Linked DNA regions of Notamacropus eugenii. The protein of the gene in region 3 interacts with the protein of the main gene of each other region in a pairwise test. Links are inferred from orthologs where the notes say so. Each region holds a gene or a part of one and is shown on either strand. Other genes may lie near its edges.

Region 1 (10,428 bases), on a different chromosome or scaffold from region 3:
TTGTACCATCTAGCTCCCTCAAGTCCTTATATTCCAATATGGGAAAAATGATTCTCTGAACCTTATCAACACTAGTGGTCACAGAGGTCATTTAATTGGACAGGTAGTCTTGGAATGGTTATCTTATGTTTTACTTAAGAAGAATAGAAAGACAGAGGAAAAAGAATATACCAGCAAAATATGGAAGAGGAAGGTTAAGGAAAACTCTCACATAATTAGGGTGCATAAGTCTATACAAACAAAGAAGGACAGGTGGGAATGTAATATTTAAACTGACATTCGCTCAGTATGCTCATCTGAAAAGGTCAAAAGAAGGAAGAATATGCACACATACACACAACTGAGTAGAGAAATGAATTTCACTTGACATGGAAATAGAAAGAAAGGGGAGAGTAAGAGGGAGGGCCAGTTAAAGCATGATAAGGAAAAGCAACTTTAACTATGGATGTATAAAATTGTGTGATAGAATATTAATACACTGTAAAAAAAATGATAAAAAGGATAGTTTCAAAGAAAATTGGGGAGACTCACATGAACTGATGTAAAATGAAGTGAACAGAAACAAGAGAACCATTTATACAATGACAATAAAGACAAATAACTTTTTTTATAAAGACAAATAACTTTGAAAAACTTAGGAAGTCTTATCAGCATAATGACCAACCACAACTTCAGAGGAATAATGATGAAACATGCTGCCCACTTCCTCATACCTGAAAGACTCAGAATGCAGAACAAAACATACACACACAAATCTATATATAGATGTGCCTAATGAAATACATAAACAGAGAGATATAAATAGATAGATAGATATATGTATATGCATTCTTTTCCTTGACTGTGTATAACTATATGTTTCTAAGAGGAATTTTATTCTTTTATTCTCAAGTGGTAGGTAAGAGGGACTTTTTGCTGTTGGAAAAAAATTAATTTTAATAATTCTAAGAAAACAGAAACTCCACTAACTAGCCTTATTTGACAAACAGAAAAACCTAGTTTCTAATATCAAAAAATTAAAATGGAGAAACCATATCCAATGAAAAAATAAACCACTAGAAAAGATTTTCCCAATCATATACCAATCAAACTGGTAATTTAAAAAATCAGTATTTACAGAAACATAAAATATCCAGATTAGCAAAACAAGAAATCAAATTTTAAATAATCCCATCTCAGAAAAATAAATTGAACAATAAATCTGAAAGAAAAAAAGATCAGATGAATTTACAAGTAAATTCTATCAAACATTCAAAAAATAATTAATTCCATCATTACAAAATATGTTTTCTAACTTATGAAAAGAAGGGATTCCATCAAATTCCTTCAGTGCTAGAAATATGATCTTTAGATCTAAACTATGGAAAGAAAGTTATTCACCATTATCCCTAATGAATATTGACGCAGATATTAAGTATTCAAAATACAGTGAATAAAATATTAGCAAAGAGGTATGGCAACATATTGCAAAATTATATACTGTAACTAAGTTAAATTTATACCACTAATCTGTGATTAGTGCAATAGAAAACCTAAACACACTGTGCTAAAATAATTCTTTTATAGTTTAGAAAGATATACAGAAAGTGCTTTTGAAAAGTAATTGTTTCTTTTCAAATTTTAGACATCACTGGAAAGCTTGGATACAAATCTTTCCTTAACATTTCCAAACTAAGCACCAATGCTATAGGTATAGAAAAAATGTTAGAGACCTTTCCAGAAGCCTAACAAAGTCATTCTAAATCAAGTGGTTTTTACCACAATAAGCTACAAATTGATGCATGACATATACTATCACGTATACACATATGATAGGTCAGTATAGTCATGCCATAAACAAATTAAAGGACCTAGGGAGGAGACACCTTTCACAATTAGGGATTACTAGGAATAGGGGATGAGTTCAAGTTCCTGATGACACAGGCCACAGGAGATAAAATGGATAATTTTGATTACTTGAAATTCAACATTTTCTGGACAAATGAAATCAAGGCAAGTAAAATCTGAAGGGAAATAGTTTTGTGGAAAAAAATCTTTGTAACAAATTTCTTTAATATAAGTGTTCTATTGGAGATATATAAGGAATTGATTCAAATATATGAGAACAAGAGGCATTCTCCAATATATAAATTGTGAAAATGCAAGAATGGTTTTTTAAAAAAGAAATACAAGCTATTAACAGATATGTGAAAAAATACTCCAAATCACTAATAATTATAGAAAATAAATTAAAACAAGCTCAGAACTAGTAGATTGACAACTATGACAAAAAAAGGAAAATGGCAATTGTTGGAGTATCTGTGGCAGGACAAACACACCAATTCACTCTTGTGAATTATACAAATACAAAGCAATTAAATACAAAGCAATTGGAAGTATGCCCTCAAATTCACTAAAGTTAATCCTGTGTTTGCTTTCTCCTTAACATCTCCCATAATGTAAATTTTAAAAATAAAATTAAAGCACAAGTTTATGCTGATTTTCTTGGAAGATACTGACAGCAGTGTCCCCTCCAACATCAACAAATGAGATTTTCAGTCTTCAGACACTGGAAAGATTAAACATGTTAAAAGGTGACTTTTACAAGGAGTTTCTAGGGGCTTTTGTTGAAGTACATTAGCAAGATGTACAGTACTCAGCAGTTCCCAGGTTGAGGCAGATCCCCAGGGTAAGCCAAATTGAAGTTACTTCTGCCTTAGTTCCCTCCACGCAGGCAGGAGGGGATATCCACCTACGCAACATCTGTTCCTAAGGCAACAGCAGTTTTACCACCTATGCAATGACTCTGGTTGTTACACTGAGATGAGGTGACACACAGGGATGAGGTGATGTGGTTAGAAGCTAATTCTAGTTCATCAATATTCCATTTACACTAGACATATTTGCAGCAACCACCCACCCAAAAAAAGATTCCAGGATCTAGGGAGCTCTAACCCCAGCTGATCTTTCTAAGCCAACCGCATGCGCGGTCACATTTTCCTCTGCTTGGCGGATTTACACTGCCACTTCCCAATGGGTCTGTGTGAGCATAAAGTCTTGCATCTAGTGCATCCACCAAATTAAAACAAACATCTCATCCTTGCAGATGTTTTTCACCATTGGCTAGGAGCACTGATTCTACCTGCAACTAAGCGCGTTCCACTGGAAAACTGACCACAGCCCTAATCTGCAGGCCAACTTGTGCAGGTAGTGAGATGACCTTGAACATTATTGTCCCTCAGACCATCCACTTAGTTTTCCCAGTCCCTCTTCTGAAGCATTCAGTTCCCTACTGAATTTTAAAGGGCACCATATCTCCTGCAATGCACCAGACAAAGCAAGAAAATAGTCCCCCGCACTGCCCCTCCTGACCATAAGGTCTGAATGAGGTGTATTATGTCTGAAAGAGGGGAACACCCTAGTGTAAACAGACACCCTAGTACAGATGGAAGGAGTGCAATTGTGGCTCGGGACGGGGAAGGAGTACTGGGGGAGGGGGGGGGGGCGGTGTGATGGAGGAGATTTAGTAAGACTCACCTTGTGCAGTTTCCACATAGCCCCCAAAGCCTTGACTTCATGACTAGAGTGTTTTCCCTCTTCTAAACACTGGTAACACACGGGTATCTTGCACTGGACGCAATACATACTGTGGTTTTCCAGCTCGTGATCTGTGCAGGTGGAAATTTTGCGGGGACTCAGCCTCCGACTAACTCGGCCTTGGGCTGGGGGCACCAGTCGGTGTTTAGCCAGAGGTCCCCTAGGCGGGTGGCATCTGAGCCGACATGGGTCGCAATAGAAAACATCGCACTGTTCGCACATTACTGTAGCCTCCTTGGGCGCCTTTTCACAGAGCTGGCACTTGAGGGCCGCAGCTTTACTCTGCTGATAGCGATCGATGACCCCTTCCAGAACGCGGTTTTTAGGAAAGCCGCGCAAGCCCCGGTCATCTAGGATCAGACTACGGTGGCACTGTGGACAAGTGATGCAGGAGTTGCGAGGCACTGGGGCCAGAGATGCTGACAAGTGGGCCGCAGGGGGTGGCATGGCCGGGGGAAACACTCGGACTCCATTCGGAGACTTCTGGCAGGGAGTGGTGGGGGCACTGGCGAAACCTGCATAGGAGCCGTAGCCGCTGTCCGCTTCGCTGTACAGACTCATCTTATCCATGTCCAGATAGTCATAATCAGAGACCCCAGAACCCGAGGCCCGACGGCTCTGGGGTGACTCAGACTCCGGGGTCTGAACTAGGATATTGCGGGCACACGCTTGGCACAAATTGTGAGAGCAAGGCAGAATGATAGGCTCTCGATAGAAAGAACCGCACACCGGACATTTTAACTCCTCTTCCATTTCTTCCATAGGAGGGCTGGGCTGATAAACCAAGCGGCGACAGACTGGTGCCTCAAACCTGTAGTCCCCGCTAGTTAACAGGCTAGATTTGGCCAGCACCTTGGCCTGCAGCAACAGCAGTAACAGCGGTAAAAGCAGAGAGTTGCCTTCCGATTTCCCTGGTTACAGCAGTCTGTCACTCTGGCTAGCAGAAAACTGAGCCAGACAGCCTGGACCTCCTCTCCTCCGGCCAATTGGGGGAATGAGAGTGGGTCGAGACCTACCATTGGCTCCGGTCCCTTTCAGTCAACTTGCCTCCGCAGATAGCAAGGGATTGGGGGAGCAGGCAGGGAGGTGGGGGTTGGGGGATGTTGATGAACTAAGGAGTCTGCGCTTCAGCACCCTATAGAGTACGGTAGTGTTGGGAAACAATTCGCTATTCTTGCGTTCCAGTCTTCCCTACCGTCTACATGGGCAAGGGGTGTGAGAAAACACTTCCAGATGACAGGTGACTTTCTCCAAAGGTTATTCTGACAAAAGATTCTCCCTCGACCCATTCTCCCCTTTCCCCTTACCAAGAATGCTTCCTTTCTATGACCTTTCCACTGTAGCAGCTCTCCAAGAATACTATGTAAGCCATTTCTTCCCTGTCTTCTGCCCATAACCAAGCTGCTCATTTCCCAGCAGGGGCAGAAGTGAACTGAGCTTTGGATTTTTTTTTTTTTTTACCTTAGGTCTTAAACTTTCCGTTTCAGTCCTTAAAAGGTTTCTGGTTCGTCTTTCTCAATTCCATTTTTCATTCAATCAATTTGAAAGGGTCCTCTGTTTCTCCACACTGCATTATGTAGCATGATGGTCTCATAGGAACATGAGGTCTTTAAGTTCAATGAGGGAGAAAAGTGAAGTCAACAGAGACCAAGGACAGACAAAAATAAGTGGTTGTTTGAGGAGCAGCATACCAGGGAGACAGAGGGACACTTTTTAATATCACTCTTCTTATCAATGCACATTTTTATTTTTATAGTTTATTTGTAATATTTTACATTTTGAGCTCCAAATTCTCTCCCTCTCTCCAAATCCTCTCATCCACTGAGAAGGCAAGCAATATATCCATGTGAGGTCATGCAAAACATTTCCATATTAGCTATGTTGGGGAAAAAAAATATAAAGTGAAAAATATATACTTCAGTCTGTATTCAGAGTTCATGAGGATTCTTTGAAACTCGATAGCTTTTTTCAACATGAGTCCTTTGGAATTGTCTTGCATCATTACATTCATGAGAGTAATTATATTTCACAGTTGCTCATCCTTAAAATAGTGTTGTTACTATATGCAACGTTCTCCTGATTTTGCTCACTTCACTTTGCATCATTCCATATAAGACTTCTTAGTTTTTTCTCAAATCATTCTGCATCTCATAATACAATAGCTTTCCATCACAATCATATACCCTTACTTGTTTAGCCATTCCCCAAATGATGGACCTCCTCTCAATTTCTAATTGTTTGCCAGCACCAAGGGAGCTGCCATAAACATTTTGTACATATGAGTCATTTTCCTTTTTCTGTGATCTCTTTGGGATATAGGTCTAAAAGTAGTATTGCTGAGTCAAATGGTATGCACAGATTTATTACCCATTAGGCATAGTTCCAAATTATTCTCCAAAACACAACTCCATCAGTTCCCTATTTTTCCATATCCTCACCAGTATTTATCATTTTCCTTTTCAGTCATGTTAGCTGATCTGATAGATGTGAGGCAAACTTTGGAGTTATTTTAATTTGTATTTCTCTAAAATTTCTCAATAGTGATTTGGATCATTTTTATGTGACTATGAAGAGCTTTGATTTTTTTCTGAAAACTACCTATTCATATCCTTTAACCATTTATCAATTAGATAATAGCTTATTTTTATAAATATGTGTTAGTTCCATATACATTTGAGAATTGAGATCTTTACTAGAGAAACTTGCTGTAAAAATTCCACCCTTCCCTAGTTTCCTGCTTTCTTTCTAATTTTGTTTCCATTGGTTTTCTTTGTACAAAACCTTTTTTATTTCATGTAATCAAAATTATTCATTTTACTTTTTTGTGATCCTCTTTATCTCTTTTTTGTTCCTAAACTTTTCCCTTAGCCATAGAACTGACAGGTAAATTTCTCCATGTTCCCTAATTTATTTATGATATCACTCTTTAGCCTAAATCATGTACCCATTTTCACCTTTTCTTGGTATGCTGTGTAAGATGTTGGCCTATGTCTACTTTCTTCCAAACTACTTTCCATTTTCCCCAGCAATTTTTGTCGAATAGTTTCATAGAGCTTGGATCTTTGGGTTGGCTTATCAAACACTAGATTATTATGATCATTTACTACTGTATATTGTATACCTAAACAATTCCACTCATCCAGCAGTCTATTTCTTAGCCAGTACCAGATTATTTTCATGGTTATTGTTCTGTTAAATAGTTTGAAACCTACTATGGCTGGGCTACCTTCCTTAACATTTTTCATTGATCTTCTTTCATGATCTTTTGTTCTTCCAGGTGAATTGTTACTATTTTTTCTAGCTCTATAAAATAATTTTTGGTAGCTTGGTTGGTATGCCACTGAATGAGCAAATTAATTTAGGTAGAATTGTCATTTTCATTATATTGACTTGGTCTGCCCATGAGCAATTAATATTTCTCTAATTGTTTAGATATCTCTCCTTGTCTAAAAAGTATTTTTTGTTCTTATATTCATTGCATATGCTTTGGCAGGTAGACTCCCAATCATTATTATTTTATGTAGAATTATAATTATATTTTTATTTTTTATTATATATTATATTACATTTTATTATATATTATATTGCATTACATATTATGACACAATATATAATATAGTTATATATTATATTATTTTACATATAATTTCTCTTTTTATCTCCTCCTGCTGGGTAATACATAGAAATGTAGATGATTTAGGTGGGTTTATTTTATATCCTGCAAATTTCTTAAAGTTGTTCATTCTTTCAACTAGCTTTTTCATTGATTTTTTAGGATTCACTAAGTATCCCGTTGTACCATCTGCAAAGAGTAGAAGTTTTGTTTCTGCATTACCGACTACTATTCCTGAAATTTCTTTTTCTTTTCTTATTGCGATAATTGTGATTTCTAGTACAATATTGTAAGGTAGTAATAATGAATATCCTTGTTTCACCCTTAATCTTATTGGGGAGGCTCCTACCTGATTGCAATTACAAATAATGTTTGCTCTTAGTTTTATATTTTTAAGAAAAGCTCTGTTTATTTCTGAGTTTTCTTGTGTTTCTCATAGGAATGAATATTGTATTTTGTCAAAATTTTTCTGCATCTATTCATATGGTTTTTGTTGTTGATATGGTCAGCTTATAGTTTTTCTATTTTGAATGAGTCCTGCATTCCTGGTATAAATCCCACATTGTCATCATTTATCATCTTTCAGCTATGTTGCTTTAATTTCTTTGTTAGTATTTTATTCAATTTTTTTTGTATCAAAATTCATTAGGGAAATCAGCCTATATTTTCTTTCTTTGTTTCTGCTTTCCCTGGTTTAGGTATCATAACCATATTTGTGTCTTAAAAATAATTTGGTAAGACTCCTTTTTTAATCTCTTTTGTCAAAAAGTTCATGTAGCATTGGCATTAATTGTTCCTTAAATGTTTGGTAAAATTCACTTGTAAATTCATCTGGTCCTGGGAATCTTTTCTTAGAGAGTTTATTGATGTTCAATTTCTTTTTCTAAGATAGGGTTATTTAGGGTTATTTAAGAACTTATTCCTCTTCTATTAATCTAGGCAATGTATATTTTTTGTAAATATTCATCCATCTCACATAGATTGTCAGTTTTATTGGCATATAATTGGGCAAAATAACTCCTAATAATTGTTTTGATTTCATCTTCATTGGTGGTGCATTCACCCTTTTCATTTTTGATACTGGTGATTTGGTTGTCTTCTTTCTTTTTTTAAGTTAAATTAATTGATTGTTTTATTGGGTTTTCTCCTAAAACTAGCTCCTCATTTTATTTATTAGTTTAATATTTTTAAATTTCATTTTTATTCATCTCTCCTTTGACTGTCAGAATTTCCATTTTGGTTTTTAATTGGGGATTTCTAATTTGTTGGGGGCTTTAGTTGTCCTTTTCATTAATCTGATCTTTATCTCTTTTATTGATATACACATTTAGAGATTGGTTTTCTCCTAAGCATTGCTTCAGCTGTATCCCACAAATATTGGTATATGAGTTCATTTTTGTCATTATCTTTCATGATATTATTATTTCTATGATTTTTTCTTTAACTCAGTCATTCTTTAGGATTATCCTATTTGCTTTCCAATTAATTTTTAATTTGCACTTCCATGCTTTTTAATGAATATAATTTTGATTGTATTGTGGTTTGAAAGAGGTGCATTTAATATTTTCTGCTTTTCTGCATTTGTACATGAAGTTTTTATGCCTCTTACCCAGTTAATTTTCATGAAGGTTCCATGTATACCATTTGACCAATTCTGTTTTTTAAGACATTATTTTCTTCAGTATTTTTATATCTCTTTTACCAAGCTATTATCTTTTTGTAGGGATTATTTTTTTTTGAATTTTCCTCATTTCTTCTCCCAGTTGCCCACTAATACTCTTATTTGATTTCCAAAATAACTTTTAACTCTTCCAGGAATTTTTATTGAATTCATGTCCAATTTGCATTTTTTTCCTTTGAGGCTTTGCTTGTAGTTGTTTTGACATAGTTGTCTTCTTCTGAGTTTGTGTCTTTTTATGATTAGGTTCTTTTTTGTTTGTTTACTTACTTTCCCAGCCTATTTCTTGATTTTACACTTCATATTAAAGTTGGACTCCTCACCTAGGGATAAATGGAGGCACTATCTCAAACTTCAGGCATTTTCACGCTACTGGTTTTAGAGCAATTTTGGGGAGTTTGGAAGTTTTCAGTGCTCCCAAGGTGGTATGATCTGGGGAGAGGTATGGTCCGCTGGTCTTTGCTCTAGTACTTACAGAAGTAGAGTCTCTAATCAATCCTTTGTAGTTAGAAATGCTGTCACTGTTCAAGGCCCCTGCTCTCTTTTGACTAAAAGTGCTAGTATTTCTCTCCACCTTGAAACTGCAACCCAGAAATGGAGTTGGACAATGGAATTGCCAAATAGTGTCCCATGCTGTGTCCAGTGCTAGCACACAGGGGTTACCTACAATCTCTTTCTGACTAGCTGACCAATTCCTTTACCATTTCTGGGCTGAGAGCTCTGGACACTGCTGCTGCTGGTCTTGTTGCCACCACCAAGTTCCACAGCTGGTGTGCTGCTATAGGTGTTCCAGACAACCCCAGTGTTCCTCCTGAACTTCCTCAGTTGTCTTGTGTTGGGGAAAAGAGTCTCACCCTGACCTTTTGTTAGCTCTGCTGCTCCAGAATTCAATTTGAAATGTTATTTTAGAGTTGTTTGGAGAGGAATGTTGAGAATTCTTCTGTAGTGCTTCTTCTGCTCTGCCATCTTTACTCTGCCTACACTTTCTTAATGCATGTTTTTAATATCAAGTTATCTCATCTTCCAAGATGTGGAGTGATAGATCAAGTCATTCTTTTCTTCATACCAATTGTTGCTCTTGACAGCCATATCTGTTTCAGTGGGGAAAATTCATGGTTCTTAGTAGTTGTCTTGTTAAATTAAAAAAAGGGAAGCACATAATAGCTGTCTCATTGAAAATTAGAAAATTATACTTTTTATAATATTAACATCAAAGTAATCATTGAGAAAAAGAGTCTATCTTTCTGTTTCAGTCTGAACATTTAACACAATGTTATTGATTACTATATGTAGGAAAAAATCTCCATCTAATAGTGTGACAATTTATAAGGAAAATTGAATCCATATCTTTATGTATATAAATATGAACATTCATTATCATGTTTTAACTCATAAGTGTAAAAAGTTGATGAGTTTTAATTCATTGACACATGATAGTGATTTGAAATAAACTATATGGCTGTACTAATATTTGTAGATAGATTAATTTATAGCAACTAACACAAAGGAAAAACAGACATGGTTATACCTAATAAACGCAGAAAAGATCAATCCTTATAAT
Region 2 (10,409 bases), on a different chromosome or scaffold from region 3:
GATCCCCTTTGTATAGATGAGGAATTTGTGGCCTAGAAAGCTTAAGATATTTGTCCAAGGTCACACAGGCTGAGCCACACAAGACAGATCCTCTGGCTACACATCCAACAATTGTTCCAATTACCTCACTTCCAATCCTTATTTCCACTGTCTTTTTACCTAGTAATATCTTCACAAGTTTTCCCTATTTTAAACACATCAAAAAAAAAAAAAACACCCCAAAACTTCTTTCAACCTGACTACCCCAAAGCATCGTGTCTTCAGTCAAATTTGCTGCTTCTCACGAGTTCTCATAACTTGCTCCCACCACTCTACTGAAACAGGCGTCAAAGATCCCAGGTAATCTTCCAATTATCAGATCTCCTGGCCTTTCCTAACATTTCATTCTCCTTGACCAACACTGTGGACAAGCCCATATTTCCTGAAGTTCTCTCTTCCAGCTTCCATGTCATTGCTGTATTGTCATTTCTGGTACCCTTTAAGTGTTTCCTCCTTCAAAGTGGGTGTTGCTCAGTCTAGTCCTCAGACTGTTTCTGCTTCAGTCTCAATTTTAACTTCCAAGTGGACAATTCTACATAAATGGCTTTTTGACACATAACTAAAACAGACTTTTCCCAAAACCAGATCTTTCTTCTGATTTATTCTCATCTGTCAACAATGCCTTTATTCTCCCAGTCATCTACACTGAAAGCCTTGAAGTCATCCCTCCCACTCCTCCCATATCAAGTCACCAGCACCTGTTAATTCTTATTTCTCACCTCCATCCTCCCCTTCTTTCCCACTGCCCTGCTAGGTACCTCAATCCTGAAATAACACAACAGTCTCCTAACAAGTCTCTCCCCACAACCTATCCTATGAATGTCTTCTCAATCAATCTTCCTAAAATGTTATTTCGCACATATCAAAAACCTTCCCTTTGCCTACAGAAAAATATTAGAAAGGTTGAACATCTAATCAGTCCCCTACCAACTGTTCCAAACTTATCTCCCACTACTCCCCAAAGCTAATAACTTTCCAATCTAGCTAAATTCAAAGCCAACCTGTTCCTGTAACATTTCACACACATTCCTACATCCATGCTTTTCCTCTCACTATTCACTCTGCCCCATATTCCCATTCCCTAGAGCTCAGGATGCCCTCACCTTCCTTTCCACCTAAGTTCTATCCTTCCTTCAATGCTCAGCTCTGGTTCTACTTCTTTCATGAAGGCTTCCCCAAATGGCTCAGCCCTGGGGAATTTCTCTCCATTCCAGATTTATTTTCCATACTATTTGACACAGGACAGAAAGTATGAGCTAAGCATTTTTATGTATGCATCCTGTTCTCCCCAACTAGATGGGCATCCTCTCAAAAACAGCCCACGTCTTATTTACTAACAATCTCTGGCATGTGGCACATTACCTTAGTAGCTACTTAATAAATGTTGATAATAATGATGCTATTGCTAGAAAGCTCCCAAGGCCCAGGCCAACCCCCACAAAGTGAGTAATGCTCTTTCAGGAAACAAAGCGGACAGCTGATAAGAGAAAGTCAGTTGATCAGCCTCCTTTAGCCTCCCATTGTTAAAGGGGAAGAACTCAAAAAGGACTAAGTGGAAAAGTATCTAAATGTTGACCTAGAGATGAAGTCTTGAGTTCAGGCCCAGAGTAAAGCAACTTAGTTCAGAGCCCCACTAAAACACTAAGCATTCAGGCCTCTCTAAATTTAGTGCTTTTACTTACCCACTCCCAACCCTACCCCACCCAAACACCCAGACCCTTCCAGGTCCCTCCTCTGGAGGTGCTGTTTCCCTTCTTCACTTTGGTTGCCTCACTACTCCACACAGAAGAAATTCACCCACTCTCATTCTAACTTTGGGTTCCAGAAAGCTCTGACTTTATGCTTAGCCTCTCCTCTTGCTCCTATTTTCAGACCCCTGTAGTTTCCCCTCACCTGGTCCTGGGCAGGAGGCGGGACGGGACGTTGTTTCTCCTGCACACGGGGCTTCTCTCTCTGTTGAGCATAGGTGAAGCTGGGAGGCTGAGGCTGTTGAGGGGACCCTGCAGCAGTGGGGGGTGAAGGACCCACCTTCTTGTGAGGGGGACCCCCAGGTGCTGGAGGACTAAACTTAGGGGTCACAGGAGTGAACTTGGGGGCCACAGCATTAAACTTGGGGGTAGAGGTAGGGGCTGGGGGTGGGGGTGGAACTGCAGATGGAGCTACAGCTGGAGGTGGAGCCACTGGTGGAGCTGGAGCCACTGGTGGAGCTGGAGCTGGGGGACCTCGAGGCTGTGTGGTTAAGGTCTTAGACACAGATACAGAGTGGGACTGAGGAGGGCTAGTAGGAGCCAGCCAAGGAGGAAGAGGTGCTGTGCCAGAAGCTGCAGATGGGACTTTAGGCTTGGGAGGGAATTGGGGGGCAGCTGGGGGAGGCACAGATCCAGATGAAACCTGCAGGGGAGAGGAGTTAGGGGGAGAACTAAGTTAGAAGAAGGTGTTGTCTATCCTATCACACACACACCCCTATGTAGGTTCACTGTGTTTATCTACAAAGACACAGCCCCCCCACACACACCTATGCAGGTTCACTTTATCTACACACACAAATACACACACACACACACACACACACACACACACACACACACACACACACACACACACACACACACACACCTATGTAGGTTCACTTTATCTACAAAGACACAGCCCCCAAACACACACATACATTCCTGACCTCCCCCACTTTCCCTACCCCATCCCTCACCCTGGGCTTGAAGGGATCATTCCGGGCCATGTCATCCAAAAGGGAGGACAGAGAATCCATCTCCAGGTCAATGCTGCTCACCTTTCCTCTAGGCTGAGGAGTAAAGAATTTGAGGACCCAGGCAGACTTCTTTATACATCGTACACTGAGTTTCAGGACTCCCCTCCCCCAAGGATATTCAATCCTACACAGCCTATAGGGCTATATGGAAGTTTCCTAAAGTTCCCTGCCCCCACTGAATATTTCCCTGCCCATAAGTGGAGAAAGCCAGGCAGAAACAGTAGGCCTCCTTCTATAGCCCTTTTATGGAGTATCCATTTCAGCCCAGTGCTCTTTTCCCTTCACTCACCTGATGGGCTGGTGCTGGAGGTTCAACCCCCACTTCTTCTTCCAGAGGAGGTGGAGGGGAAGGGAATGTCTCTTCTTCTGGAGCAGGGGGGAATGGCTCCTCAAATGGAGGAGGGGGTGGCGGAAAGGGCCCTCCCAAAGAAGCCTCTCCATCATCCCCAGGTAGCAATGGAGGTGGTGGCAGAGGGAAATCTAGAGGCAGGAGAAAGAGATTCATCAACAAGGCCCTCCTCCAGTTGTACTGGGAGGGCCTGTAAGGAATGAGGTAAGACCTAAGGTTTACTGGGCATCCTGTTCAGGCCTCTGAAGTCCTGGGTATCCCAGTACCCCATAAAGAGATCTCTTTCCATTAAGAAGGTATGTTTTAAGTCAGGAAGTCCTGCTGAGAAGGGAACTCACTCCCCCTTTCAGTTTAACAAGCAAACTCAAAGAGCCATGCCCCACACACATTCTCGCTCACACCCACCCCCGGGCCAGGAATTTGAAATGGACCCAGGAGTCCTGGCTCGGGGCCACGGGCTGCAAGATGAGGTAAGAACATCTGCTCAGACCGAGTGGCCCGATACCCTCTCCACCTCCCCACCCCTACCCACACAAGCTCCTCGATCCCTTGCACCCCTTGGCTTCCAGACATCCCCCCACAAAGTCCTTACCTTCCGGGGGTGGGGGAGGAATCTCCCCCACCTTGCCCATCTGAGCCCTCTGGGCCCCGGGCCCTGGCGGGTTCTCCGAAGCCCCGGCCCGGAAAGGGTTCACTTTGGGTTTGGGGGCCACGACCGGGGCAAACTTCTTCTGCGGGGCATAGAAGGCGGGCGCCGAGACCGAGACGGAGATGACAGGGGGGGGCCGGGGGGCCGCCATGCGGAGGCTGGGCTGGAGGAAGGGCCGCAGTTACCATGGACAGAAGGATGAATGGATGGCTCTCCCCGCCCGCTCTGGAGCCCCCAGCCCCGGGACAGGGAAGGGCCCGCAGGCCCCCCCCACCCCCCACCCTGAACTTGCGGCCGGGGCCGCCTGTCCCCTCTACCCCATCCTCTCTCACCGCGGGGCTCGGCCCGTCTATTCCGCCAGCACGAAGGAACAGTGGTCAGTGCGACGTCCAGCCCAGCTGTGACTCCGTCCGTCCGGGCGTCCCGAGCGGCTTCTGACTGGGGGGAAGGAGGGCGGGGAGACACAGAGGCAGGGAGACCATACAAGGAGCGGCCCAGAGAGGAGGCGGGGAGATCTGGAGCCAGGAGGCGGGGAGAACTGGGGAGACGAGGTGGCTGGGCTGGGCTGGGGGGTGGGAGAGCAGGAAACTCCCCCAGGAAGGGGCCCAGATCACGCCCAGGACCAGGGAAAGCAGAGAAGATCCTCCTCCCAGCAAACCTCCCCGCGGGCTACAGAGTCAGAGACGGGCCGGCCCTCCCAAAACACGCTCCGCTGATGTCATTTCCTGACCTCCCCCCAACACACAGCGGCCCCCTCCTCCTTCCCGGAGGTCTGACTCACTGTCCCAGTTCCCCCCATCCCACCCCCATCCTCACCTCCCACCCCCGTTCGGCTTTGTGCGGCCAAAGTCGGGCTGGGGGCCGAAGGAGCAGATCCAGCCTTTGCCCCTGACTTGGTCTTCCAGTCCAAACCAGCTGTTCTCTTAGCCCCCCCAGCCCTGTCTCCCCGCCCCCCGTTCTCCTCCTCCACCCAGGTCCCCAAGAATTCCCGCCTACCGCCTGCTCTGGGTCTAGACTCTAGGGAGAAAGGACGTAGACCCGCTCCTAGCCACTAAACACACCTCCCACCCTCTCCCCACGGCCGCCGCCAACACGTACACGCTTAGACAAAATCCACACGTTTCAATGGGGGGACCGAGGGCGCCGGGGCAGTGAAATGAGGAAGGACTGCTAAATCACCAGACCCTATTTCCCTAGGGGTCCAGGAAAGGTTTCTAGCTCTTGAGCTACGAGTTCAAAATACGTCTTTTCAGCAGCTCCGGGTTAGCCAGAGCTCCACCCCAAAAGCCCCTCTGGGCTAGTGAATTTAAGACTCAGAATTGCTAGAGGCATGCACTGGGCTGGCCTGAAACTGAAGGGAAGTGGAGGTGGGTGTGGTCTTTTCAGTTATTGAAGGTTTGGGGGGAGAATATGGAGAGGTCAGAAAGGTATTTTTACACACACAAAAGCCAAAACCAATTCAGTTTGGGTGCATCTCTCCACACACCCCCACACTCCTACCCCCCCTCCGCCAGAAAGAAAACCTAACTAGCGTCATTGAATAAGAAAACTATAAATGAAAGGGACCTTAGATCTACTTCAACCCCTCTTTTTAAAGAGGAAGAGTCTTTAGGCCATAAGGGTAGTAAATACCTTGTCTAGGGTCATACACCTAAGTTATTGTGCTTGTCCTTCATTTTCGAAGAGGACCATGACATCAGGGAAATGATGACCTGACTTGCAGTTGACTTTGATTCGAGTGAGGGAGTGCTATGCAAGGTCACCAGCCTCACTTTTTCCTCCACAAACACCTAGTAAGTAAGTGGTGGATGGGGACTTCCAGTGCTGTAAGCATCTGTAGTCTATCCCTCATTATCAAATGCTGTACTTTCTTCTTTTGAAGAGTATCAAGTCAATTGGCATTTATTCAGTACTTATCATGTGCCAGGTCCTGTGCTAAGCAATATAGGATACAACTACTGTACAAGCAAAAGGGACTGTTTCTGTGTTCAAGTATTTCACATTCTAAGCTCCTTCTACCTCTCCTACATGCTCCCTTATTTTCATTTCCACTACCTTCCTCATCAATTTAATAAAAAGTCAATTTAAATGTATTTATTAAGTATCTATGCAACGCAAGACACTGGATTTCAAAGATGAAAACCAATACAAACACTGACCTCAAGTTGCTTATAAGCTACACAGGCTATGTTATGTACAAGAATTATATAATACTAAGGTAACACCTCAGTACCCCACTCACAATTGGGTCTCCGGTACTCAGAGTCCACATCCACTCAGATCATAGTTCATTATCCCCTAATTTGTTAATTGTTACTAGTTAGTGAGCAGACAACAGTAGATGAATGCAAAGGCATTTAATGAATTAGCCTCATAAGAAGAAATAACGTTAGAATAATTCCCCCATAAAACTGAATAACACTCTTCTATAAACACACACCATCACTGGAAGAGGTGAACTACAACTAGGAAACATGTATGGAGGGGCACATATGTAGAAAACACTTATTCGCAGGGTATACCCAGGGATGGGCAACTCACACCTTTGAAACCTAGGGCTGCTGATGTCTTCTGGAGATGTTACCATGCTGCTCCACCTAGGAATACTCCCCACTGATCTTGCTTGGCTTCTGCTATATGGTCTTCTGTTGGTCTACATGGTTCCTGCCAAATATGGATCCACCAGATACAAGATTGGATAGCTTTGTTCTATTACTAATTTCTAACCAGCTAGAATCATCAGCTGAAGTGTGTTATCTCTTGCTGTAAGAAGGAGAGGGGTGGGCTCTCCACCATGACTCTTTTAGCTTAAAGTCCAAAGGCTTCACATCTTTTAGAAATGCAGAGCCATCACATCACATCACTGCTAATTGTTTTCCTTCCCATTGATTAGTTTGGTAGTATTCAGAGTCATGGTCATGATATAGACTTTCCTCTTCAGAGACAAAGATTTTCTTTCAGAGGCAAAGTCCTTTTGATTTACAAAATAGTTAGCTAATTTTTGCCCACAAAACATTAAGGGGCAGCTGGGTGGTGCAGTGCATAGAGTACCAGTGCAGGAGTCAGGAAGACCTGAGTTCAAATCTCATCTCAGACGCTTGACACTCACTAGCTGTGTGACCTTGGGCAAGTCACTTAACCCCAACTGCCTCATTCTGGGTCATCTCCAGTCATCCTGATGAATATCTGGTCACTGGATTCAGAGGGGTCTGGAGGAGAAGTGAGGTTGGTGACCTACACAGCCCTTCCTCACTCAAAACAAAGTCAAGTGCAAGTCATGTCGTTATTTCTCTGATGGCAACGAAGGATGAACACACACAAGGCATTAAATCTATTTTTCAACCCAAACTTCACCAAAAGCAAGGTCTCTTCCAAACTTCTATCTAATTTAGGATCAGAAAACCCTTATAACATCTGTTTATATTCCAACTGCCAAGCATCACCACTTCAGAAATACTTTAAAGACTTCCCTCTCAGCAAAAGTTCCCTGATTTTCTCAACCTCAAGGTTCTTTTTGGTCCCATATACAAATGAATGGAAGGGGAGAAAGGGCAAAGGTATATCCCACTCCCCCAGTCATCTGAATGCCTTTCTTTCAAAGTTCTTTATATGTTTATTTCATATGTATATATTTATATACATACATACACACACACACACACACACACACACACACACACACACACACACACACACACACACACAAAGATATTCAAGCTCCTAGTTTGGTCACCAACCTAATCTTAGTTTCAAGGTTTCAGGTTTCCTTCCTAAATTTGATTGACTCAATTAGATCTTTGATAAGAATGAAACCAAGAACTTTGGAATAGGGTGTTTATTCCTTTGCATTGACCACACCTTCAAAAGCAGGGAGACCAATAAGTTTTATTTTGTTTTTCGTTAAGGAGAGGCCAAGGACTTTAGACCAGGTCTAATTCTTCAAGACCTTATTTGGGTTTTGTTGGCAAAGATACTGAAGTGGTTTGCCAAAATCTTCTCCAGCTGATTTTACAGATGAATACCTACAGCAAACAGGGTTAAGTGAATTGTCCAGGGTCATACAGCTAGTAAGTGTCTGAGGCCAGATTTGAATTCAGGAAGATAAGTCTTCCGGACCTCAGGTCCAGGTCTCTAGAGCTGCTCTGCTATCTAACTGCCTCTTTTAGGCTAGGATCCTGCCAGGTGATCTTCAGAATTTCTTCAAATGCAAAACGAACACTTGCCAAAAAGACTATTTTATGGAGAACTCACATAGGGCAAAGGTTCACATGGTGGTCAGAAGAACATTACAAGGACAATCTCAGGGTGTCCTTAAGAACTTTGGCATTGATTGTGTGACATGGGATCTACTGGCACAGGACCGTTCAGCATGGCCTGCCCTCATCAGAGTAGGTGCAGGGCTCTATGAGCAAAGAAGAATTGAAATAGCTCAAAAGAAACGTGAGATGCGCAGATTTAGAGAATTCACCCCAAATGTTCACATAACGTATTTGTGCCCATTCAGTGGTAGAACATTTTGAGCTCCTATTGGTCTGATCAGCCATAGTTGGACACACTGTAACTTGACTCTAGCATAGTGACGTCATTTTGGTCCTCTTCAAGAATGAAGAACAACAACCAACTAGCCAACAAACCAGGATCTTGTCATTATATTATTTCTTGAGATTTCCTTGAAGGACAGTCTTTAGTGAATATATTTTTACAAATGTATGGATGGGAGATATTTTGTTGTAAAAAAGCATACAAGGAAGCATTTTGTTCATATGAATCAAATGTTGTTGTTTTTTTTATAATTAACAAATAATGGGTAAAATGGGACCTTAACATTCTCTAATCTTTCATTTTGAAATAGTAAAGGTGTGGTCCATAGCTGAAGATTGCTTCTAAAAGTCATTTCCCTACCTGAATACCCTTGTTAAGGATGCTCTCAATTACTATATAGGTGATTTTCAAAAGGATTTTGTATAAATGGGAGAGTAGGTATATAGGTGATTAGTTTCTGATGGTCTCTTGGTTGCTTTTTTCAGTATTAATAAAGTCCAAGATTTTCCCCCTACATTTTTAGTATCTTCTTTAGATGCAATGTAATTAGTCCACCAATGGCACCACAATTGTTCAATATTCAGCACAAGCTCTTCTATAATCCATCTGCTTTTCCCGTTTTTGATCTTCTTAAGCACTGTTTTGAGCTTATAATAGAAATAGAAAAAGCAGGACTTCTGAGTAACATGACCAACAAAACAGAAGACTAAATACTTCCTCCAATCCTCATAAACCTCTCCAAAATAGGAACTATATGTAAGAGATAAGTGACTTTCAGCTGTCTCCATGGTCTAAGACACCAAGAACCCTAATAAGGTAATAACCTGATGAAGAAACAACAGAGGCTAATCCCTAAGAGTCTCACTCAGCACCTTTTCCCCATCCCAACCCCACCCCCATTCCAGGCTACCATATTCTGGCAGGGCTGCACAAGGTAATACTTGAGCTTGCAACAGAACTTAATTAGCTCTACTCTTTTCCCTGCATTGATTAAAACCAAAAGCCAGAAACTTTCTCTGCCTACGAAAGTGGCACGCAGCTTGCTATGCGGTGACATCGCTCAATCAAAGAACTAAGAGACAAAAGTAACTAAGACAGGGTACCAAAATGTGTGGGGCTCCTCCAAGTTTAAAGGAAAGTGCCCTGGTATATAATTGTGACCAGTTCTGTCCCTCAGGGAACCCTAGGTTAGAGAATGAGGCCGCAAGCAAGAAAACTCAAAGGGAAAGGAGTCAGAAAGTAAACGATAGTGGAATACAAAAGATCATAAGAGGAAGAAAACTCAGTTAAAAGACCTTGAGCACAAGCAAATGAATCAAAAGGGAAGATATTAATAATAGAAAGGAATTTGGACTCCCTCTAAATGAATCTCTCTCACCCTCTCTCTATCCATTTTTACATATATATACAAGTATATGTATGTATGTAAGTGTATATATATATGTATGTATGTGTATATATATATACGTATACATACATTCATAGATGTAAAAATGGGGTCTTTCATGCATGAGGACCAAAATGATATCATTATCTTGGGGTCAAGGTACAGTGTATCTGCCTATGGTTAATCAGAACAATATGAGTCAGAAGGCCCTATCACAGGTTGGGCACAAAAAGTCCACATGAACATTTGGAATGGAGATGTCTCCAAATTTGTGTATTTCACATTTCTTTTGAGCTACTGCAATTATGCTTCATTCATAGAGCATAGCACCTTCTTTCATTCCAGCATGCCATTCTGGGCAGTCCTGTGCCAGTGTCACCTATGTCTCACAATTGATTCCGAAGTTCTTCAGAGAGATCTTGAGAATGTCCTTGTATGATTCTTCTGACTTCCATGTTAGTGCTTGCTTTGTGTGAGTTCTCCATAAAATTGACCTATAGGCAAAACTACTTTTAGCATTTGAACGAAGTGGTCAGCCCATTGGAGTTATGCTCTTAGAAACAGAGTTTGAATGTGTAATAGTTCAACTTGAGAAAGGATCTGGGTGTCTGATACCTTATCCTGTCAGGTGATCTTCAGAATCATCCTAAGACAATTCAAATGGAAGTAATTTAGT
Region 3 (9,583 bases):
CCTGGTTGGTAATGACCTTCCCCCTCAGGCCTCACCTAGCCCTCCTCTCTTTCCTCTCCTCTCCTCTCTTTCTCTCTCCTCTCTCCCTCCCTCCCTCCCCCCCTTCTTTTCCAATATGTTTACCATGTAATGTTGTATGGTATAGTTATCTATTACCCCAATAGACTATAAGCTCCACCAGGGCAGGAAGTGGCAGGGATTATCTAAACTTTGTGTGTCTTCTACAGCGAGGCACAGGAGTGTTATACATGCAGAACATTTAATAAATGTTTGTGGAATAAAAGAGCTAGGTGTTAAGAGACTTGGGTTCTAACCCTAGATTTCTAGGACTCACTGTCTCTCTGGACCTCAGGTTCTCCATTCGTACAAGGGGAGTAGGTTTAGAATCCAATTTAGAAGACTCCATCTTCTTCATTTGACCCAAAGAGATGAGATGACTTCTCCAGGGTCATGCAGGCAATAAGTGGCAGATTTGCACCCAGGTCCTTTGACTCTTTTTGTCCAACACTACCTCTCTGAGACTTGCTGGTCTTTAAAGAGCCTAGGATTTGAGGATAACTAGACAACTTCAGCCACCAATTTTTCACTTGTAAAATGACAGAGTTGTACCAAATGAACTCAAAGGTCCTAGCTCTCAAGTCTAGATCTTCTCCCCCTCTCCTTCTCTCTCCATCCCTTCCTCTGTCCTTTTATTTTCCTCCCTCCCTCCCTCTCTTTCTCCCTTTCCTGCTCTTTGTTCTCCTTCCTTCTTCCCTTTCTCTTCCCCCTCTTTCTTCTCCTCTCTGTCTCCCTTTATTCTTTCTCTCCCTCTTTCTTTTCCTCCCTGCATCTCTCTCCCCTCCTTTTCTCTCTCTGTCTCTCTCTCTCTCCCTCTCCTCCCTTCCCCACCCCTCCCAGTAGCCCAATTGCTGGCTTTGGAGTCAGAAGACCTGGCTAGGTTCTGATGACTACAGTGTGACCCTAGGGTAAGGTCATTTAACCCCTCTGTGCCTCAGTAAAAACCAAGGGGTTAGATTGGCTGGTCTTGGAGATTCCTCCCAGCTCTGGGTCTGTAATCCCTCTCCTAGTACTTTGTCTTATTATACAGAAGTCCTTCCCATTTGGAGGTAGAAGTGTCCAAGGAGAAGGTAGCTGATCACCTGGACAGATCACGCTGGAGAGGAGATTCCTATATGAGGACCAAGTTTGAACTAGATGAGCCCCACATCCTGAGAGGTGAAGAATTAGAATCCAACATTCAGTATGACTGGGGGGCTCATAGACATAGAAAATCAAAGAGGAGGAAATTCCCCAATGCCTGAATGCCCCACTCCCTGGTAACTACCCTGTAGGCTCCAGTGTCTGTGACCTGGAGGAAGCCAGCCAGTAGGCACTCAAGCTGGACTGAGAAACAAACCCTGTGACTTTCCATCCTGTTACCCGCCCCCTCAAATAACCCCCAGGAAGTTGGAGGCCCTTAGCCACGCCCAGTTTCTTGAGGTAACAGCAGCTACAATTTCCCCAGGGCCCTGTTTTACTGGGTGCTTTCCTCACCAGGACCCCAGTGAATCTAGTGGATTAATTACCCTTGTTTTACAGATGAGGAAAGTGAGACCCACAGAGGTTAAGCCACTTGCCCAAGGTCACAGGGCTATTGTGGCTGGGATTTCAACCCAGGCCTATCAAAACCAAGTTCTAAAGTGTTCTTTCCACTTGGCTCTCCCACTGAGGTGAAAAGGATCCTGGAAATCTAGGGAAGACCCTAGGTAGGGAGGAAGGGAGAATATGGATAAGACAGGTCTCTGTGCATCACAGCATCACAGGCTTCAAAGCAGTAAGGAACTTTAGAGGTCATTTGGGCCAATTCCCCTCTTTACAGATGTGAGGAAGCAAGAAACAGCGACTCTCTGAGGTGGCAGATGTCACAGACTCTCTGTGTCCTGGACTCCTTGACACCAAGTGGCCTCTCTCTAATCTTTATTAGCTTGGTTTCAAGCTTTATCTCTGCTTGTGGCTTCCTGTGTAGCTTGGGGCAAGTCCCTGGGCCTCAGTTTGTACGTCTGCAAAGTGGTGTTGGGAATAGGTCTGCGTGCTGTTACTCTCTAAGGCTCCTGAGCTATACCTTCAATTTTCAGGCCTTGGATTGAGGGGAGGGAGAAGTCAAGCTAGAGAAGCAGGGTGAAAGGGGGAGAGCAGCTTTAGCCCTGGCCTTTTACGGTCTCTGGGAGCTAGGGTTGGCGGGGGTGGGGGGTGGGGGGGGCTGCGGGGAGGCGGGGACTCGGACGTCCGCCTTCTCCTCAATCCTCTCCACCTCTTGTACCAGGGACCGGAAAAGGGGGGAGGAGGAGGGACCTGGGGCAGGAGGTAGGGCGGAGAATGGAAAGGGGAGGGGTCCCGTGCTCCTCCCCTGACTCCCATGAAGGAAGGAAGGCTGAATGGAGACTTATAAGGAGCCAGGACCGAACTCTAAAAGGCGGAGGGGGGAAGGGGAAATGTTTCTGTCTTATTGGTGCTGAGAGGGGGAGCTGGCCAGTTAGAAACACTAATCTCACCCATAGGCTCCCGGGGAGGGGGGTCATTCGGAATCCCCTTACATACTGTTGCCCCAGGGTCTTAACCCCCAACTTTCCCTGGGTATCTCTTCCTCTTCTCCCTGGGATCTAGAAGTTGGGGCTAGGGATGGAGAGGTGATCGGACCTTTAAAATGTTTCGCATTTGAGCCTCTGAACCATAGAATATAAGACTTTAGAACAAACGGGAGATCAGGTTGATAGAACGTGACAGCTAGAACGCTTAGAACATTCCACGAAGTCTTTCCTGCCGCCGATTCCCCCCATATCCCCACGCCTCAGCTGACCCCCCCTTTCAACCCCCTTAGCCCGGAAAAGTGGTGAAACCGAAGGAAATTGGTATCATAGTCAAACTGTCCCACTACCCCACAGACTTCCGGCCACCGCTGGGGAGTGGGGGGAATGGGAGGGAGGAAATTCCCTTTCCATCCCTTCCCTGTCTCCAGATTAACCCTACAGCCTCAGGAAATTAATAGGAGGTTAATGAATTAAATTGCAGCAGAGCTGGTGTGGTGGGACTGTGGCCTGGCAGGAGTTAAAGTCACTTGGAGCTAAATTCTGGGGTTTGAACCCCAGTTTCGGCAGAAGGGGGTAGGGTGGGGGCTGTCCGGAAATCCCAGGGCTGGAAAAGCGATAGCATTGTAGCAGCGGCTCCCAGGGGATTGGAAAAGGACTCGTTCCTCAACATCTCTCTCCCTAGCTCAGGTATCTGTCTTCTCGGTACTCCAGGAGGGTGGTCCTCTCATAAGCAAGTTATAAGTCGAGAGGTTTCTTTTGCGAGGGGCCTGTCACTTTATTTTCCCTCTCATACATAACACATCTATGAAAACCCCTAGCATCTAGATCCCCTGTGGGTGTGCAGCTCTCCCCTCCCCCCAACCAGGTGCCCTCTCCCTTCCCCGTTCACCCCACCCCCCCAACAAGGAACATGGGTTAAGAATCCCTCCCTCTTGGACAGGTGAGTCCCAGGAGACAAAAGCCGCCTCTGCCCCTCCTCCATCTCTCCAGCAGTTGGTTTCCTTCCCAGGGGAATCTGGGGGAGGGGTCAGGGGTGGAGACTCTGGGGAAAGGCTGATTACCCCTCTGGATAACTTCCCTAACACCCCCTCCCCTCAAGATATAGCGGAAGGGGAATGTAAACAAGAGACCTCTTCCCTCCGGGAAACTCAGTTGTGTGTGTGGGGAGAGTCGGGGGTGGAGACAGGTAATGCTTCACCCCAGCTCTAAGGGTCTATCTAAGCCTTCTCTAAGCAGGAGGGACGGCTAAGAATTAAGAGCTTCAACAGCCCTGATGTGAGGACTCAAGGATCAAACCCCAGAAAAGTTAGGGCTCAGCGTCCCTGGAGGCAGGGCAGAGAGACTTTCCAGTACATAAATAAGGACTCGTCGGCAAACTGAGGACTATAGAGCGTGAAGGGGTTTGGTTTCCAAAGGTCAAAGGGGTGGTTGGACCTCTCATCCTTCCTTTCCCCCAGTGCATCTCATTCTCTTCACAGGCTTACAGGCGGGGCGAGGTTTTGGAAACCCCACATTTGGGGTGGGGGGAGTATAGTTAGAGACTGACCCGGGTCGACTCTAGAATCGGAGGGGAGGCAAGAGAGCATCATTCACCGCCCAGGTTTGGGGGGGGGGGTGTATAAGGTGTCAGCTTCGTTTTGAAGGGGCCCAAGACAAAACTTGCTGCCTCTCAAAAAGCCAAACCAGACCAAAGCAAAAACCACTGTGTGGTTAACGGATCTCGGAACTCCTGGAAACAGGACAGTGGAAGAAACAATCGGAACCTCACAGAAGAAAGCCTGGCACGGGAAGGGGCAACGGTCTGGTCATCATCCTTCCTTTTCCCAAGGAGTCCCTGGACACCACACCCCTCTCCCCTCCCCCGCCTAGTCTCCAGAACGGTAGGGTTCAGGGGGAGTCCTTTCAAAAGTTGTGGAGGGCTGGTTAAGGGGGATCCCCAAAAATACTTCTTGTAGCGAAGGGGAAAAGAGGTCCGCCCCTCGCCTCCCCTTCCCTTCCTTTCCCAGAGCCCTGGGTTCCCCCAACCTTCTCTCTCCCTCCCTGTAACCAGCCACAGGGTTACGCTGAGGAGGCGGCCTCCCTGGATCCCGGCAGCGTCCCCAGGCCCAAAGCACCCTCCCCACCAAAGTCTCCCGGCTTCCAGACCCCGCCCTAGTATCTCTCACCTCATGGCGGGGCTCTCGAGGGGCGGTCTGGGCCGCACTGGGCTCCCGGGCTCCGGGGTACACCCGGAGGCTCCGGGGAAGGGGCAGGGCAGGGGGGCCCGGAGCTCTGGTCAGATCTGGGGCCGGACCCGCCCCGTGGAGGGCTGTAGCTTCCTCCTCGAGGGGGAGGGGGAGGGGGCAATGGGGGGGCGGGGACTCGGTCTGGGTCCCGCCCCCTTCTTAGTTGGGGGTGCTCGGGCCCTCCCCCTGCCCCCGCCCCCTGCCTTGTGCTGCCCCTCCCGGTCAGATGCGCCCGCCTGGCCAACGCAGCCGCTGCTGCAGCTGCCCGCTGCTAGAACGTTACGCTTTTTCTCCTGTGGTTACATTTCATTCCAAGATTCCAACCTGCTTCCTCAACTACCCCCCTTTTTCCCCCCCCAGCCCATTCCGCTCCGCACAGTCGGGGCGCCCACAATGCCTCGCGCCTTAAAGGTTCCGGCCGTCCGGTAGCCCGGCCCGCTGCCCCTTGCACTTCTCCTTGGTGGCTCCCCATCCACACCGGTCAATCTCCCTTCCCCACACTTTTTTTGGGTATGGGTGCCCGGGGGGGTCCAGAGATCAATCAACTGTAGATAGATCCACTCCCCCATCCCCCTCCCTCCCTTCCCTTCACCTGACCTGAGCCAGCCCCGCCCCCACTCCTCTGGGGAAGGTGAGGAGGAGGAAGTAGGTGTGGACCGGGATGACTAAGAGACAGACTGAGAGACAAGCGAGGGCGAAGAAGGGCGGGACGCCGGGGTTCCATCTTCAGCCCTTCCCCCCATCCAGTGTGCCTCGGTTTCCCCCTCTACCCTTGTTAAATACACAAACTGCCAGTTAGAAGACGAAAAAGAAGTAGTGAGTTTGCGTTCATTCCCTCCTGCTCTGGCCTGCTGGGAGTTCCCTGGGGGTTCGGAGTTCCCCATCTTTATAAAGACTGAGTGCAGAGGACTCTGGGAGAAAAGTCTCGAATTGTCAGGCGGAAGGTTTGGGTTCTATCGCCGATGCACTAGATGACTTCAAGCAGTTCCCTGCCCCTCTCTGGACCTCAGGATCATCTCTTCGTGAGCAAAATCAGTCAGGTCACGAGCATTTATTCAGCACCTACTGTGTGCCAGGCACTGAGTCAGTGCTTTAAGCTGGTGACCTCCCCCATCATTCCATAGTCCATATTTTAAGAGCCCTTCCAGGTCTGTCCCGAGTTCTTAGCCAGGAGATCATGAGAGTGAGCAGTGGACACCCTCAAAGCTCAAGAAAGGAAAACTTTCCCAAAGTAATGAATGACCTCAGGGATGAAGCTACTGACCTCCCCAAACCCTTCTTCCATAGAACCTCTTCCAGCTCCCCCTTTTCCCAGGAACTTAGAGTGCCCACTATGTTCAAGATCCTATATTGGACCCTAAGGATATATACATCTCCTGTGCTTCAATACCTCAAGGGATATGGTTTCACCCCTGCAAGTCCTTGCTCCAGGTACACAGCTCACAATCCTCTCCATAGTGAGGACTGTTTTCCTGACCTTGTGGCTGAGGTGGTCATGAATCTCTCCAAACTGACCTACTCTGGTCCTCAGGCAGCAGGCCTCTTCATTCCCTTTTCCACTTTTTACCGGGTAGGAAACTCTCTGACCAGAATGCAGTTTCCTTATGATGACCCCAGAACTTAGCACAGTCCCTGGACTTTAGGAGACATTTACTGAATACCTCTTCATGCCAGAGATCTGTTTCCTTTGGTCCACAAGTTTCTGCTAGCTGATCATTCTGTAGAGTGCTGAGTGGGCATTTGGGGAATATTGAATGCTGTCTTCTCTCTAAGGGGAAGGGGGGTGGGTAGGCAGGGATTTAAACATTTATCATGCCTAGCACTGTACTAAGTGCTTTGCAGATGTCTCATTTGATCCTCACAAGAACCCTGTGAGGTGGAGGCTGTTATTATCTTCATTTTACAGTTGAGGAAACTGAGGCAAACTGAAGTTAAGGATTAAGTGGCTGGCCCAGAGTCATGTAGCTAGTTAGATAGATTTGATCTCATCTTTCTGACTTCAGATCCAGTGATCTATCTACTCTAATATCTAGCTGCCTCTCTAAGATAGAGAAGTCAAGATTCTAATCCTAGCTATGACCCTAACTTGCTGCATGACCTTTAGTAAATCTTTTCCCCTCTCTGGACTCTAAGAAAACCAAAATTCTTCACCTGATTCTGAGTCCTAGGATTCCCTCCCCTGTACCTTTTTAAAGGGTTCACATTTCTCCTCCTTTCAAATGTTCTAACTTCAGGGGAACTTGAAAAAGGGGAAGTCCCCTCCTTATCCTTAATCATATTTATTTCCACAAGACTGGTCAGTCTCATGGTGGGGGGAGGTGGGTAGCTAAGTAAGTTTTCCTCTGCTCCAGTCCTCAGCAGTCAGGGAGCCTAGGGAAGAGTCACTCCCTTATAAACATTTATTAAGTACCTAAGTGCTGGGAAGACAGAAAGGGAAAAGAGACTTTTCTCAAGGAGTTCACAGTCTAAGGTGGTTAACAGCAAGATTCTGCTTCAGGGCTGCTGACCTTGGTTATGAAGAAACTTAGGGCTTTCTCTTCCCTTCCAGGATCACGTTGTTCCAGGCCAAGGGGCTCTGGGGGAGGGTGGGAAAGGGAAGACTGGAGGTAGAAGGAACCTCTGAAGTGTCCAAATGTGAACACTTCCTCATTTAGGCTTTGCACATAGGAAGTGGTCAATAAAAATTTCTTGGCCAACTTTCTACTGTCCTAAAATTCTATGCCTCTGAGATCTTATGAATCTATCAATCTAAGGTCCTAAAGTCTAAGATTCTGTTCAATTAAACAAACACTAAGTGCCCACTATGTTCCAGACCAAGGGGCTCTGAGGGAATTACAACTTCATGGATTCAAACATTTCAAGGGAGGTAATTTTAGCACTGTGAGTCCTAGCTCTAGGCACACAGCTCATAAACCCCTCTATATAACTTCAGTAGAGTCATCCTCATCACTTTGTGGTCAAGCTGCTAATGAACCTCTCTAAATTGAGCTAGGCTTGACAAAGGCAGGAAATAGGGGCTACATTAATTGACTCGGACAACAGAACTTCAATCTATGATCTACACACAACACTATTCAACCTTTCCAGCTTGGTAGAGAATTCTAGAGACCAAGTGCCTTCAAAAACCCAGAGGAACCTACATGCCATGATGGGCCATCAGAGGCAGACTGGAGTGTAAATCTCACCTCCAAACCCTACTAGCCTTGTGATCTTGGGGCAACTACTTGATCTCTCTTTGTCTTGGTTTCATTTGGATGATGGGTTAGACTGGGTGACTTCTAAAGTTCCTTCCAGCTCTAAATCTATGATACTATGATTTAAAAAAAAATGAAATGATTCACTTCCTACCCTCAAAGAGTTTACTTACATTCTAATATGTGATAGAAGTAAGAATCAGAAGGTAGGGCGTGTTGTGAGATCAATGGAAAGAAAACGACAAAATAGGAAGATGATACAAGGAATCGGAATACTTTCAGCTGGGGAGAACTGAGATCATGGAAGCCTTTTAGAGGAAGTATTATCTGAGGGGAGTCATGGTAAGTCTCAGGTAAACATAAAGGCTTAAAATTCTATTTTGACTTAAGAAAGTACAGTTCTAAGAGTCTCTGACTTAAAGAGTCTATTATTCTAGCTGAATAAGATTCTGACTCAGAATCAACCTTTCTCCTGGAGTCAAAGATCTAGAGGCAGAAGGGACCTCAGAAGCCATTTAGCTCACTCTCTCATTTTACAAATGGAGGAACTGAGACTTAAGGAGGTGAAATGATTTGTATAAGATGTACAGGGGCAGGATTTGAAGGTGGGTCATGTGACTCCCAATTCAGGGCTTTTTAGCATATTGACTCCCTCACAACATGATCAGAGACCTCCCGCTGGACCTCACCTAGAACTTTGTCCTTTTCTCCTGCGTTTATCAGGCGGTGTTGAAGATTAAAGTTATCTCCCTAGTAAACAGTAAGCTCCGTTAAGGCAGGGACCTGGATCTTATTTGAACGTGATATTTTCCCTAGCGCCTAGTGCAATTCCCTGGGCATCCTATTAGGCCCCGAATAAAAGTTTAACCAATGAATGAAAGTGTGTAAGCTCCCCCTGGCGGCTCACTCTGGTTCACACCACATTCAGTCTTCCCAGGCTTCCCAAGCTGGTGCTCGATGCCACGCCTCTCGAGATCCCCGAGCCCCTCCCACACCCAGAATGGTGAGTTTCAGAAGGCTTAGGAGCTGGCAAAACTTCTCTCCAGTTGTGTCCTCCGCCCTTCTGTCAGGATCCCCTCCCCTCCCTGAGCCTCTCCTCCTCCCACCTAGTCCAGCCCTAGCACGGTTTCCTAGTATTTTTTTCCCATTTTCTCCCTAGTTTGGCTTCAGGCTCCTCCAGTGCACGCCCCTAGGCAGGCCCCCCCTCCCTCCCCGGCTTATGCTCCACCCCCTCAGGGCCCGCCCCTTCCCCCACCCCTTCCAGACTCGCGCAGGCTCCTTATTTTCCCCAGTCCCCTCGCCCGTCTGTAAACTCGCGCAGGCGCGCTTGCTCACGCCCCCCAGCCCAAGCCCCGCCTCCGGCCCGGGGCTCGTGCTGCAGTCCCCCCACCCCCTTCTCTTCGCTCCCCTCGGTCCCAGCTCGGGGCCCCGCCCGCCCAGACCCCGAGGAGAGGGAGGGAGGGAGGCGGCGACGGTCTGCGGATGGCGGCGGCTGGGGCGGTGCCGGGGCGATGAGCACGAGGGGCCCCGGGCCCTGGGCGGCGCGGCCGGAGCGGGCCCGGGCGGGGCCATGGGCCAGGTGCTGCCAGTCTTCGCC

What was found. The genes of interacting proteins can lie anywhere in the genome.
Region 1: the proteins of VASP (region 3) and TRIM9 interact in binary tests that used the Homo sapiens proteins (3 or more experiments, as listed by UniProt). The two-hybrid records come from large-scale screens. The link is inferred for Notamacropus eugenii from reciprocal best matches to the Homo sapiens genes VASP and TRIM9.
Region 2: the proteins of VASP (region 3) and ZYX interact in binary tests that used the Homo sapiens proteins (3 or more experiments, as listed by UniProt). The link is inferred for Notamacropus eugenii from reciprocal best matches to the Homo sapiens genes VASP and ZYX.

The regions. Positions count from the first base shown.
Region 1 is NC_092872.1:334,230,643-334,241,070, forward strand, and holds the start of TRIM9 (E3 ubiquitin-protein ligase TRIM9), read right to left. Parts: upstream 4,636-10,428; 5' UTR 4,339-4,635; coding exon 3,517-4,338; intron 1-3,516. UniProt on the Homo sapiens protein: E3 ubiquitin-protein ligase which ubiquitinates itself in cooperation with an E2 enzyme UBE2D2/UBC4 and serves as a targeting signal for proteasomal degradation.
Region 2 is NC_092874.1:104,910,149-104,920,557, forward strand, and holds the start of ZYX (zyxin), read right to left. Parts: upstream 4,636-10,409; 5' UTR 4,621-4,635; intron 4,243-4,620; 5' UTR 4,137-4,242; intron 3,968-4,136; 5' UTR 3,956-3,967; coding exon 3,748-3,955; intron 3,287-3,747; coding exon 3,096-3,286; intron 2,840-3,095; coding exon 2,747-2,839; intron 2,431-2,746; coding exon 1,933-2,430; intron 1-1,932. UniProt on the Homo sapiens protein: Adhesion plaque protein. Binds alpha-actinin and the CRP protein. Important for targeting TES and ENA/VASP family members to focal adhesions and for the formation of actin-rich structures.
Region 3 is NW_027325105.1:117,845-127,427, reverse strand, and holds the start of VASP (vasodilator-stimulated phosphoprotein), read right to left. Parts: upstream 4,874-9,583; 5' UTR 4,738-4,873; coding exon 4,733-4,737; intron 1-4,732. Other genes in the region: RTN2 (reticulon-2), read left to right, coding at 9,557-9,583. UniProt on the Homo sapiens protein: Ena/VASP proteins are actin-associated proteins involved in a range of processes dependent on cytoskeleton remodeling and cell polarity such as axon guidance, lamellipodial and filopodial dynamics, platelet activation and cell migration.